Ovis aries: one gene and its partner. The protein of the gene in region 2 interacts with the protein of the main gene of each other region in a pairwise test. Links are inferred from orthologs where the notes say so. Each region holds a gene or a part of one and is shown on either strand. Other genes may lie near its edges.

Region 1 (7,004 bases), on a different chromosome or scaffold from region 2:
TTTATCCTGTGGGAAGGTTTTACATTTCCCGAGTCCCCTTCCAGGCCATTCCATCCCTATTTCATCCGTCTGGCTATTTCTGAACAAACATGCTACAGTATTATTCTGGATACTCTTGTTCAGTCACTGAGTTGTGCCTGGCTCTTTGCAACCCTATGGACTGTAGCCCTCCAGGCCCCTCTGTCCATGGGACTGATTTCCCAGGCAAGAATACTGGAGTGAGTTGCCATTTCCTTCTCCAGGGGATCTTCCTGACTCAGGGACAGAACCCACGTCTCCTGCATTGGCAGATGGGTTCTTTACCACCGAGCCACACGGGAAGCCATATTTTTATGGAGACTTTCTTTTTACACATCTGGTATAGCAAGTCCTCTATATCATTGTCTCTTTCAAAAGCATCTTAGTTATTCTTACCAACTTATTCATCCTGATGAAATTTATTTATTATTTTAATTTTCTATTGCTTTGGCTGCACTGGGTCTTTATTGTGGCTCAAGGGTTTAGTTGCTCCATAGCATATGGGATTTTGCTTCCCTGACCATGGATGGAACCTGTATCCTCTGCACTGGAAGGTGGATTCTTAACTGCTGGATCACCAGAGGAGTTCCCAGATAGAATTTAGAGTTTGACACATTTCCCCCAGATCCTGTGGAAACTGGGGTTGCATGTCTTCCTGTCTTGGGCGGGGCGGTAGTTATTCTTGTATAGGTTCTGCTCAACCTTATTTCTAAGAAACTATTGTGACCATGGTGAAGTGGATTTCCCTGAGTATCCCTGCTCAGACCACTACTAATCATTGTTCGAATAACGAAAAGCAAGTGATTTTTTTGGCGATTCAACTGCATAGGTACTTACTGAACTGTATTACAAATTCTGAGAGGGTCTTAAGTGCTTATTTTGGAATTTTTAGATGGACCACCGCACCTACATATAATGGCACTTTGTTTTCTTTTTTCCCCAAAGATAGTTAAGACTTCTTGCTCAATTTTATTGCATTGATTAGGTCTACTGGATGTGTTCAAAGCATTCTCGCTTTACTCCTGATTTTAACAGGAAAACTTTTGGTAATTCATATCTATGTTCCACTGTGGCTGACAGTTTGACATACCTTTTAAAAATCGTGTCCAGGAAGTACCTGCCATGGAAATGACAAATGGGAGGACTAACACTAGAAGCTTTTTTTTTTTTTTTTAAGGGGGGATGCCTTCAGCTGGACAGAGGGCTCTGGGGGTTGTTAATTACAAATCCTTTTGTGCTGATTCTTGACTCTCTGCCTGAATTATGAATAGGTCTACTTTTACTTGTGGCTCAGCTGGTAAAGAATCCACCTGCAAAGTGGGAGATGGGGGTTCGATCCCTGAGTTGATCGTCTCCAGTATTCTGGCCTGAAGAACGCCATGGTCTGTGTCGTCAGTGGGGTTGCACAGAGTCGGACGTGACTGAGCCACTTTCACTCACTACTTTTACTGGGGCTTCCCTCCTGGCTCAGATGGTCAAGAACCTGCCGGCAATGCAGGAGATCTGGGTTCGGTCCCTAGATTGGGAAGATTCCCCTGGAGAAGGGAATACCAACCCACTCCAATATGCTTGCCCTGGAGAATCCCATGGACAGAGGAGCCTGGCAGTCTATGGTCCATGGGGTGGCAAAGAATCAAACACGACTGAGCGACCAACACTTCCCCTTTCTGCTTTTGCTTTAAAAACAACCGCAAGAATAAAAACACAAACACTTTTATTGACAGTTTTCAAAGAACTCTAAAGTTTTAAGAACGGATGCCAACAGTTACTCATTGAGTGTTAAGAGGACCTCGGCTGTTCCTGTCACCCACTGCTGTTTCAGATTCCCGGGGCGTCGGGTCAGCCCTGCGTTGTTTCTCGAACAAAAGCCCAAATGCCCTGGAATACTGTTATCGCGGATTCAGTGGCCTTTTAGGTGGGGCGTCTCAAGTCTGACTTGGTCCTGGAAGGTGGCCCCTGGCTGTGGGTCGGGGTCGGCGGGGGACCCGGCCACTCTTGTCTGGGTACTGTCCCCACTCCGCGAATTGCGTTTCCTGGGACATTTTTCCCCCAAACCCCAAGGGCCCAGAGCTCCGGGAGGCGTTTGGTTCTTTGATAAATTTTCCAAGTTTCTTTCCCTGGTCCTTTCTGAGCCGCTGTTGGCAGTTCGGTGGCCTCTGCCTGGTTTTGGGAAAGTGAGATCATGGGTCAGCCCCGCGTGGCCAAGTGGATGCTCCAGGTGGGGACCGACCAACAGGCTGGCGGCCCGAGCCGGGGGGCGGGGCAAGGGGCCTCGGGGAGGGGCCGCGTCCCGGCCTAGCCCCGCCCAGCGCCGCCGCCGCCGCGCAAGCGCCCTGGGCCTGCCCCGGCGAGTGCTGAGCGCCCCGGCGAGTGCTGAGCCCTCCGGCGTGCCGTCGTTACCCGGCCTGCCCCGCGCGGTCGCCGCCGGAAGTGAACTTGGCGTCGCGAGTGGCCGGGGTTTCCGTGAGTTGTGGCCTCGCGTGTCCGCGGCTCCATCGCGGGGCGGCGGAGCCCGACGGGCGGAGGCTGGTCGGTGGCCGCCATGGCCGGGGATCAGGACATGTTCGACGCTGTCGTGATGGCAGATGAGAGGTGGGTGGGTCGGGGCCCCCAGCCCTCGCGTGTCGGCTCTCAGCCTTGGGCTGCGGCCCTGGGGGAGCGCACTGGGGCCCTGGGGGCATCCGGCGCGGGAGGGCCCAGGATGCTGTTACTTCCCCTTCTCGGGCGAGCGCCAGGCGCCCAGCTGCTCCTCAGGACCCGCCTCCCTCCTCTGGGGCTGCCCCCATGCATCTGCTCGGCCTGGTGACTGCCTCCCTCCAGGGACGCCCCGTCCTCGGGTGGCGCGGACCTCTGCCATCTGGGCGCTGCCCACCTCTTTCTCGTTCCTCAGTAATAGGACAGACGGCCGCATTCACGGACAGGCTCATCAAGGTGTCAGGCGTCATCCTTTTCCCTCCTGAGCCCCTGGGCAGCGCCTAGGGGCTGTGGCAAGGCAGGGGTGGCGGCGGGTGGGGGTGGTGAAGCTCTTGGCTGCTTTGATGGCTTTCTTCCAGTGCCCAGCCCGCTTGAGACATCGATAGACGTCCCTGAGAAAGAGGGAGCAGGAAGCGATCAGTCGCTGACAGTTCATTTGGAACTTGCTGTGAGCTGCAGGCTGAACTAAGCCTTGTACCCCCGTTATCTGTTTTATCCCAACTTGTGGACTAGATCCCGTCTTTGAGATGGGGAGGCAAGGTCGCTCCGGGGGCGGGAGCCAGTATAAGTGGGAATGACGCAGTTGGTCTCGCCGGGTGCTCCAGCCAGCCCCTTTCACTTCGGTGGCCCGTGGGTTGTGACAGTTCCGCTGCCGGCCCCTGTAAGTCAGAGCCTTTATTCTACCACAGGCCCTGCCGTCATGGTACACTTTGCAGCCAGTGTTGTTGCCTGGAGAATCCCAGGGACGGGGGAGCCTGGTGGGCTGCCGTCTGTGGGGTCACACAGAGTCGGACACGACTGAAGCGACTTAGCAGCAGCAGCAGCAGATGGCGCTTCTCCTTGCCTGGCTCCTGAGGTGTAATGGAAAAGCCTGGTGCAGACGGCAGAGTTTCGTTTGTCTGTTTTGAAGCTCTTGCCCAAACAGTCTAGCTTACAGACTCACAGAACTGGGGCTGCTGACTAAGTCACTGGGGAAATTTCAAAAAGCGGATTCCTGAACTTTAGTGAGATAAGGGCAAGGCTCCTGAATTTGTATCTTTGGGATTTTCCTGTGTGTTTCCAGTATTCTCCCCGGTTTGGGAATCCCTGATTTAGCCCAGCTTTCTCATTGTAGAAGCGCTGAGTTTGGCTTCAAGAAGTACAGCGACTTGCCACAGCAGAGGCTCGGGGAGGGGTGGAGCTGACGTTGGACCTAAGTTTTATGGTTTAGGTTCTCTTATTTTTCTTTAATGCTGCTAGGTCTCGTCTTGCAGTCTGGGTCTAGGTCTGGGTCACGTGGAGGAATGAGTTTTTCCAGGAAGAATCGTCTTTCTCCTGTTTATTCACTCAGACTTGCTGCTTCTCCGTTGCAGGTTTCACGGGGAAGGGTACCGGGAAGGCTATGAAGAAGGAAGCAGTTTGGGTATGATCGAAGGGAGACGGCACGGCACGCTCCATGGAGCTAAAGTCGGATCTGAAGTGAGTGGGGACCTCCCCCTGCCCCACCACCACCTAGAAAGGAGTCCTGTTCTTTTACTGTTGACAGTTTACCTTGACGGTCAGTATGATCAAGCCACAATTTCAGGCCTCTTAAAGTGGCAGTAGGCTAGATAGACTGTGGATGGAGGCGTATTCCTAGGGCAGAGCCTGCAGAGCCTATGGCTGTGTGGCGATGACGCAGGTGGATGGGCTGGAGGAAAAACAAGCCCCTCGTCACCTCAGTGGATGTCGAGTGTCGTGGTGCCGAGTCCTCTTGCAGAGAGTGAGCACCCCGGTGTCGTGTGAGAGCGTGCCGTGGATATTTACACAGGAATCCCGTAAACTCCCCGGTTTTCCTTTTCTCCTGCCTTTTGTCCTGGATGGGCCCTCACTTACAGGTGATTGGCTGTAAACAGCGAAGTCTGAGACCACTGGAACTGTATTAGGCATCTGTGGCTTCAAAACGAAATCAGTACAAGGCACGTGGCCTTAAAGACAACCAGTGTTACTTATCTCGCAGAGGTCCTGGGGGTCCGTGGTCCAGGAGCAGTTGAGCCGGGTGGTTCTGGCTCAGGGCCTCTTGATGCTGGAGTTAAAAGTCAGCCACTCGAAGGCTTGCCTGGGGCCAGAAGAGGTACTTCTCAGATGGCTTGCTCCCTCCGCATCTTCTGCATGTGGACTTCTCCTTAGAGCCGCCCAAGCGTCCTCCTAACCCTGTGTGGGTGGCCTGGGTGGGCAGGGCAGAGGTGACATTGCCCGTTAACACCTAAATCCGGAGGTCACGTGCCACCTCTTCTGTGTTCTGCTCATCACGGCCACCCGATACAGCTGGGAGACCCCACAGGCACAAGTACCAGTGGAGTGGGAGGCGGGGCCAGTGGGCCGCCTTGGAGGCCAGCTGTCCCGCTGATAACTCGACCTCCGACCTCCATTTCCTGCTCCAGCACAAGAAGACACGCCCTGCGCCCCCTCCCGTCCTCCCCCACTTTAGTTTTGAGAGCTTGATAATTAGATCAAATACAGCGCTCGGTTATTCATTGTGCTCTTAAATGTCTTGTCAATTCACAGATTGGGTGCTACCAAGGCTTCGCGTTTGCTTGGAGAGGTCTCCTGCACAGTTGCGCCACTGAGAGAGACAGGTAAGGCGGAACCTCCTTTCTTCTTTGGCGTCTGGACCAGAGTTGCGGTTCCGTGGTGCACCCTGATCGCGGGGGGTTAGAGTCTCAGTCTCCTCATCTGTAAACCGGAGAAAACAGTCGGGCTGAAATAAGCTTGTGCAGTTGTTACAAGGTTTACAGGAAATAGTGCCTAGCAGGTACGGGCCCGTTTGGGGTGTTGGATGAACACCTACTGTTTTCTCAAGGGTCCTCTGATCTCCCCCGCCTTTTCCCTGGAGGCCTTCAAGCACTCCCTGCCAGTGAAGGCAGGTTGAAAACGATTTTATCTTCTCGTTTCCCCTGAGCTTCTGATAAACAGAGCACAGTAGTCTGGGTGTGATCCAGGTTCAGAAATGGTGACCCCACTGTCACTGGGACTTTTTACGTAGCCAGGAGGTCTAACAAGGTGATCGGGCCCGTGTGTTTTGCCCGTGTCAGGAAGCGCTAAGGAGCCGTTAGCTGTCCTCTGTAGCGTGTAGCCTTCTGAACCTGTCAGAAGTTACAGGTGCCACTTCCTGAAGCCCCAGGACCCTGTCCCCACCTGCGGTCTTCACTCTTCACCCGTCCGTGAAAGGCTGTGCTGCCGCTCAGGGGATCCTACGCGGGGCTTCAGCGGCTGCCCCATGTCCTTCGGATGCCCGGTGGCTTTGCCTGGCCAGGGAGGGGCTCCAGGAATGTGAGTGACAGAGCGCAGAAGCCGCATTCCCCCGTCCACGTGACTTGTCATCTTATTTGGAATGTTTTGAATTTCTAGAATTTGTGCCACCGCCATATTCATGTGTCAGAGCAGGGATGCTCGAGACAGGGTCTGGGTGATTCTGGGGTCGCTGCTTTCTGACCTGTCCCATCACTGATCAAGTGGGATCTGACCAGACTCGTCCACCGCGCAGGGCCACCTTGAGGAGGTTTTCCTCTAAAGACCCAGCGGGCGGCGGCGTGGCCGGTGATCTGGCTGGGACGGTGGGTGGCAGCGCGTGGCAGCACTGGGTGCCGGTCAGGGCTACAGGTGCCTCTGCACTTCTGGCCCGTGAAGGTGGGGGTGGCGCGCCTGGTCTTGGAATTCTCCAGCAGCCTCCCCTTGTCCCTTTGCTGGCGTCTGCAGCGCATGGAGGGTGTGAAGGCTCCTGTACCTGGGGGCTGCCAACTCACACCCCAGGGCAGGGTCCCCCCCCACCCCGCCGCCATCCTAAAGCCGTGCCCCCAGGCTCCATCGGGGGAGGGGCACGTGGGTTGTGTCAGGGCTGGTCGGAGCCCCTCTGCCCCGACCCCACCAGCAGAGCCTGGTGGTCTCTGAACCACAGCCTAAATCCCTTCATCTTAGAGGAGTGACTTTTGGATTTTCTAAGCCTCTACAGTTTAAAAAAAAACGGTAGAAGGCGGACAGAGAACCTCCCACTGCCTTAGGTTCCAAGTAAGGATGTTAGAGGAGAAGTGCCCGCCCTGTGCGGCCTCACTCAGTGAAGCCAGGGGCTTCTCACCCGGAGAGGGCGTGTGGGGGCCCGTCTCAGCCTGCAGGACGGGGTGTCCAGCGGGTGACCATGGCTTTTGGACCCTCCCCAAGATGCCCTGCCCTCCTGCAGGCCGGTGGAGCCCCATTTTCCTGACCTGACAATGAGCGGGCCATACCCCCACCGTGCACCGGCCTTGACCATGCGCCAGGCCGTGCGTCTGGAGCAG
Region 2 (7,180 bases):
GGGCTAAGTCCTTACAAAATAACAGTTGATGCTTGGACACATGGGTTTGAACCCTGAGGGTCCACTTACACTTGGACCTTTTTCAATAGTAAATATTACAGTACTATATGATCTGAGGCTGGTTGAATCTGAGACTCATAACTGCAGATATGGAGGGCCAGCTATAAGTAGTACGCAGCTTTTTTTACTGCATGGTGGGTGGGTACTTTTAAAACCTGTGTTGTTCAAGGGTCAACTGTAGTCTGATTCTTGTTAATTTCTTTTGGTAATGAGTCCCCAGAAATTTGAAAATGAAGACAACTGGAATTTTTGAGCATATCTTAAACCACATAAAAATTGCCAGTGACAAAGAAAGAAGGATTATATTACCTTTAATAGTATTAATTTTGAAGATGTTTCAACATTACATGAAGGGATACCCTTACAAGTGAAGTGTAGAAACCAGTGCAAATTTTGGTTAGCTTGTTCAGAAACAAAATGTTCTAAAAATGTTCTGAACATCGCTTCCATTATTAAAGTGAAGGTAATTTTTATAGTTGCTTGAGGTGTTGTAATATGTCTATTGATACTCCCAGCTGTTTTACCAAACTGGCTGTCTGTTCTAAAATCCAAGTGAGGCTTGGGTTTTCAGGGCGTTCATGCTCCTGGGCTCTACAACATTCTAAAGATGAACAATCTACCTGACTAAGATTCTTACTACAGTTTTTGTTAAACTCAGCATTATTTTCACAGAATCTTTCATCTTTAGCTTCATCAATCTTTTCCTCAGCTGGAGCTACATGAGAAAGGTCCATATCCTGAAGGGAGTCCAATAAGTCTACAACATGTGGCTGTGAAGTGACTGATCTCAGATGTCTGAGCACATACTCTTCACACTGGCCAACTGCATCCAGAAGATTATTTATTTTACTGACCAAAGCCGAACTATCATCATGAAGGTGACACCAGGAGAGCAAAGCACTGAACGAAAATATAAATAAGAGTTAAAGAGGAAAAAATTAAACAATCAAAGGCTTTTAGAATTTTTGAAGCTAAGGCTTTCATGTTTCTCTTCTAGATAAAATCATGCAAAAATTATTAATAATAGCAATGTGAGTCAAAATCAGGAAAGTAATGATGGTAAAATAAGATTATAAATATAAGGACATTATCTTTCAACAGAAATTAAACAACTGGAGTTAATCATATAAACTGTTTATAATTCATAACCCCTCCTTCACAGGTCCTCATCGATTTTCCCTGATTTTATTTTCCCCTTATGATTGTGTAGCTTCTGTTGAAGATGGATACAACTCAAGAGAAAGAAAAGACCTGAAAAAATAGTTTTTCTTTTAAAGGCAGAAACCAGCTTCTAAACTAGTGTTTCTCAATCTTGGATGCACATCAGAATTACCTGCAAAACTTTTAAACCTTATCAAGGTCCAGGTCACACCTGAGACCAATTAAATCAGAATCTCTGGGGGTGTTATTTTTTTAAAAGCTTCCCAGCTGATAACAAGGTGTAACCAAGGTTAAAAATCACTGTTATAACCGTATAGCTGCTTGACATCAAAACTGAAGGTGAGGGGAAAAAAAGTTTTGAGACAACTCACTTTTCCAACTTTGTTAGATACTTTACTAACAATTTTATTGAAGGAGGTTAGAATTCTTCCAGTCTTAATAATTATTTTTCTTTACTTTTTTTTAGTATAGATAGTACTTTTACTTTCCTACATTCATATTATTCATCTCACGAAATAATGGTTATTGTGAAAAGTAATAATGTTAGCAATAAGGTTTTTTTTTTTTGCCATGTCACACAGCTTGTGGTAACTTAGTTCCCAGACCAGGGACTGAACGCAGGCCTCGAAAATAAAAACATGAAGTCCAAATCCACTGCATTGCCAGCAGATACCCTGCAATAAGTTTTCTAAGCTTATAAAAAATTAATTTAACTTGATGTGAAGATGAACACATGATCATTTTCTTACTATAGTATACTATAAATGCTGATTCCTGACAGCTGAATTTTATAAAACCTCAAATGTAATGAACTTTTGTATTGATAACTTTTTTCTAATTTTATTTTTAATTTTTATTTTTTTCTTGGCTGTGCCATCTTATGGCATGTGGGATCTTCATCTCCTGATAAGAGATCAAACTTGCATCCCCTGCATTGAAAGTGCAGAGTCTTAACTACTAGACTGCCAGGGAAGTCTCTGTCCTGTTAACTTTTATTGCATACCTTGTAAAAATCAGTGATTCTTTGAAGCATTTATGTTTTTCTCTATAGAGGACAGGTTAAAAGGTACAAAGCATCAAAGAGGACAAGCATGCCATGCTCGTAGCTCCATGTGCCTTTGGACCACTTGGTTCTAATACATGCCATTATTCCTATGACATCCTGACAGGTGTTCAACGTTCAGAAACAAAGTAAATGGAATACTTTTTCTGTTACTAGCTATACTCTTCATCAGGTATCGCTAGTCTAGACATCTGTTTTATTGTGTTCTGCCACATGTGCAAGAATAAAAACGTTACCCAAAACCTGAAGATTTTTTCAATTACTTTGAGATACAGATTGGTGGTAGTTCAGGTAGCAAAAAAGAAGACACCTTTGTATCATTTCTTTGCAATAAAAGATAACATCTGGCTCACATATTAAAGTGGATAACTGCTGACTTTTTGAAGGCAATTTTAGTCTATGCTCTGCAGTACCCTTTCATGGCTTTAACACTAGGGGAAGCAGTTCAGCTTACACTTTCTTACATATTACTTTCATCAAAACCCTCCACTAGTACAAAGGTTAAAATAATTCAGCATTTAAGTTTTAAAAATTACCTCAATGTTCCTCTAAGTTGTCCATAGTTTATGATGACTTCTGCACCTTCCTTATAACCTTGATTGAAGCCTTGTTGAAGAGTAACTGCTTTGCCAGCATCTATTCCATCTCTGTAGCCTTCCTAAATATAAGTAATGAAGAATTACAGTTGTAACTTAACACCAAGTAAACCAGTGTAGATTTTTCTAGAAAGTCACAGAACCAATTTAGAAACTGATGAAACAGGCCTCTATTGTGTTATTTAACATCATGGTTCTATAACATATGGCATAATCACACAACCAAAGTAGACTATGCTTCTCATAAAAGTTTATTGTTGGCTTATCCCATTTTTGTAGTCTAGATTTATTGGACACATTTTAAAATATTGATTCTACATATATACAAAAAAAAAAAAAATCCGTGTTAGCAATAGCTCCACAGAAAGGAAACATGGAGAATTAGGTGTCTGGTCCTTTAGAAACTGGATTGGTGTGAGTGGATAAGGCAGGGCAGGGTTACCAAGGTCTTGGAACTGGAGTAGGGAAAGAGGAAATTGGTATAGTAAAAGGAAGATGAGAGGGCTGGTTTTAGAAATTCTGCTTGATTTAGAAATTTTCCTTAATTTAAGTAAACTGAAAATCCTCTGTGCCCAAGGATTTTGTCCTGCCACAACACTCAAAAGGTGCTCAATATTTACTGGTTTAGCCCCAGCTTCACATAAGGCATTTCTGAAGTTGACAACATTGTTGTTGTGCTAAGCAAATATTATTTTACTGAGACATTAAACAAGGGCAGACTTAATGGCAATTTAATGGTTGGCAAGGACACTAGCAGGCACAGATCTCATCATTTGGTCCTCACCCTGAACTAAGCTCTGAAAGCTCCACCTGGAAATGGTGTGCGGTATTAAGCTGAGACTCAGTGAAGAGTCAGACAAATTAGATATGGATAATTCACACCCAACAAATTAAAAAAATACATTAATACTCCCTTAGGTAGCCACCACCATTCCTTTATTTTGTTCAGTCGCTCAGCCTTGTCTGACTCTGTGACTCCATTCCTTATTAGCTTTCTCTTACTGCCCTCTGACAGCATTCTTAAGTTCACTTTTTCCATCTGTCCTGATTAACACTACTCCTAACTTTAGGCTCCCCACTCATTCAAGCAACCCATGTCAACTGCCTACATGTCCTTTGACAGACATAATTAGAACAGTGTAAATGTTTCTCCTCCACCCCTTTTCCTCTGATGCCCATCAAACTGAAATCTCTTCAAAGTCTTTGACAAAGGTTATATTTTTCGGTCCCCGGTGTCCATCCAACACACTCCACGGGCGCTCGAGGAAAGCATCCTGTGGTGTAGCACGGTTTCAAGTAACCCACTGGGAAACTCTAGCAGGACATGGGCCAGACTGAATGGTACGGGAGAGGGAGGGCAGCGCCAGGCCAGGTCGCGACCACTCCGGCCTTCATCCTGGGACCCCACCTTCTCACAACTCCCAGCTCCAGCGCTAACAACCCGGTACAGCAACGGACCCCCGCCCTCTCCACGCAGCTTTACTTTGACTCGTCTCTGCATATGGCTCTGCCATTCCCGCTGCACCAGGAGCGACTCATCAGCTTCCTCGTCAAACACGTCCCCCTCCTCTTCAGGACCTTGGACCAAAGAAGCAGCTTGAACCCACGACATCACTGAGGCAACCACCGGGCTGCCGGACGCCGGAAGGGCCGGCAACTCCTTCCGGTCCGAGGGGCGGAGCGAAGACAGACTGCGGAGCTCGCGGCACCGCTGCGCGTGCGCGTAGATGTGCGTGGTGTCTGAACGCTGTGACCGGTTCACGGAGTGGTCACCGGTCCCAGGAAGGTCCTGGTTTCCCCTCGAGGCTTTTGCTCCCTGATATTTGGAAGTACCCATAACTAAGCTGGAAATGTCGCCGTGCACTTGTGGGCCAGGCGGAGCCCCTCTGACCTTGATTGCGGAAGGCAGCGCCAGCATTCAGTGAAACACTGTGCTCTTCTACCGTGGTGTCTGCTGGGGTCTGGGTTTTGAAGACGCGTGCATTGGCAAAACCCTTTGAGGTAGTTCTTTTGAGGCACTCCGTCATTCCCTAGTGGCTCAGATGGTAAATCATCCGCCTTACAATGCGGGAGACCGAGGTTCAATCCCTGGGTCAGGAGGATCCCTGGAGAAGGAAATAGCAACCCACTCCAGTACTCTTGCCTGGAAAATCCCATGGACAGAGGAGCCTGGTAGGCTACAGTCCATGGATTGCAAAGAGTCGGACACGACTGAGCTTTCTTTCTTTCAGTGCATTTAAAGGTTTGGACTGCCCGACTGTTTCAATTGTTAGGAGCGTGGAACAAAGGACATTAAAGAAGTTAAAATATTGCAGCCCTATTGAGATCAGTAAATATAGAGAGCGTTTATGAAACGAAATATATTTCTCATTGATTCACAGCATCCTTGTCTGACTCCTGTTCCTTCTGAAATGCCAGAAAAGACCACTGGTGAGGATGGAGACTTGTCTTTATATAAGACCCACAGAGATGTTATGGGGAGGGAGGTGGGAGGGGGGTTCATGTTTGGGAACGCATGTAAGAATTAAAGATTTTAAAAGTAAAAAAATAAAAAAATTAAAAAATTAAAAAAAAAAAATTCAGCACCGGCACTGTTCCGAATTGTAGTAGGTGTTGAAACAAAAGTTAATGAATGAGTAGATACCATCAGTATTCCTGTTTGGCCCTTTGCGTACTCATGTGGTAGTGTGTGTTCATAGCTCAGTCCTGTGTGACTCTGCAAGCCCACAGACTGTAGCTCTACAGGCTCCTTTGTGCATTGAATTCTCCAGGGAAGAATTCTGGAATGGGTAGCCATTCCCTCTTCCAAGGGATCTCCCCTACCCAGGGTCTCCTGCGTTGCAGGCGGATTCTTTACAGTTTGAGCCACCAGGGAAGCCCATGTGGTAATGATGATTTACTTAGCTAACAAATTTTCTTGAATATTTGCCTTGTGCCAGGCACTGTTATATGCTTTTGAGATACATCAGTGAACAACACACAGAAGTCCCAGCTCTGACATTCATGAGGAATTGCCAGAGGATAAGTAATAAACACTATATAAGTAAATTATACCGTTTGTTACAAGATTATGATACATGCTATGGAAAAATATTTAGAAACAAGCAAAGTAAAGAGAGCTATGGGTATGTGTGTGAGTGAGGGCAGTTAGGTAGTATATGTTACCATTTTAAGTGTTCAGAGAAAATTTTTTGTATATATTCAATATATGAAAAATATATGCAATACTTGGTAGGTCCATGGAATATATAAAAACATTGTGACACTTTGTAACAAAAAACCTTAATAAACTAATCATCCAATATAATTGATAATAAATAAGTTACTCCAATAATTTAAATTATAATTTAAATATAATATTGGACATAAGCATCTTCCTAAATAACATTTGAATCAAAAAGTAAATAAAAATTAAAACAATATAATAAGCAATAAAAATCAGAATAATTCGTACCAAAAAAACTTGAAAACAAATGAAAGCTGTCTTATTAGGCAATTCTGGAGGCTTTAATGTTTTTATTATTAAAGAAGAAAGAGAAACAAGACAGAATTACCATGTATCTTAGTTAGAAACAAACTGATAGTAAGGGAAGCAGTAAATAAAACAATTGAAATTAATAAAATACAAACACCCAAACTTGCATAAGTAATTCCAAAAGCTGGTTGTTTGACCCTGAATTAAAAAAAATATATATACAACATAAAAATGAGAAGGAAGGTAATGATACAGGAAAAAAATCAAATATTATAAATTACTGACTAAAACTTTGACACATTTGAAAACAGGTGATATGATGACTTCCTAATAAAATTTATCAAGCAAGTAGAAAACGTGAAGAAACTAATTACCATAGAAAAATTGGAGATTATCCACTATAAAAATAGCATAGAGATGAGAATTTTACAGTTAAATGCTTTAAATCCTTTTTAATCTTTAAAGAATGATGGATAAATAAATATCATTTTTTTACTCTTGTAGGGCACAGAAAAAGAAACTCCCTAAATCATTTCATGAAACCAGCTTTACTCTCATCTGCTAAAATTAATATGAAAGAACTCCCAAAGTTCAAGTTAGCTTGTGAATATGTATTTAAAAGAGAATCCAGTATCTTATCAAAATAATAATTCAAGAGGTTTTATTTCATAAAAGCAAAATGTTGCAATATTAGGAAACCTATATTTCACTGCATCAACAGTTTAGAAGAGAAACCATGTATTGTACTAATAAAAGCAGAAAAGTCAGTTGGGCTTCCCAGGTGGCTCAGTGCTAAAAAATTGTCCTGCCAATGCAGGAGACTCA

The links.
Region 1: the proteins of YAE1 (region 2) and LTO1 interact in binary tests that used the Homo sapiens proteins (3 or more experiments, as listed by UniProt). The link is inferred for Ovis aries from reciprocal best matches to the Homo sapiens genes YAE1 and LTO1.

What each region holds. Positions count from the first base shown.
Region 1 is NC_056074.1:43,305,635-43,312,638, reverse strand, and holds the start of LTO1 (protein LTO1 homolog), read left to right. Parts: upstream 1-2,441; 5' UTR 2,442-2,560; coding exon 2,561-2,610; intron 2,611-2,955; exon of another isoform or gene 2,956-3,160; intron 3,161-3,401; exon of another isoform or gene 3,402-3,695; intron 3,696-4,064; coding exon 4,065-4,170; intron 4,171-5,238; coding exon 5,239-5,309; intron 5,310-7,004. UniProt on the Homo sapiens protein: The complex LTO1:YAE1 functions as a target specific adapter that probably recruits apo-ABCE1 to the cytosolic iron-sulfur protein assembly (CIA) complex machinery. May be required for biogenesis of the large ribosomal subunit and initiation of translation.
Region 2 is NC_056057.1:82,946,978-82,954,157, forward strand, and holds the start of YAE1 (protein YAE1 homolog), read right to left. Parts: upstream 4,514-7,180; 5' UTR 4,493-4,513; coding exon 4,289-4,492; intron 2,943-4,288; coding exon 2,821-2,942; intron 961-2,820; coding exon 531-960; 3' UTR 1-530. UniProt on the Homo sapiens protein: The complex LTO1:YAE1 functions as a target specific adapter that probably recruits apo-ABCE1 to the cytosolic iron-sulfur protein assembly (CIA) complex machinery. May be required for biogenesis of the large ribosomal subunit and initiation of translation.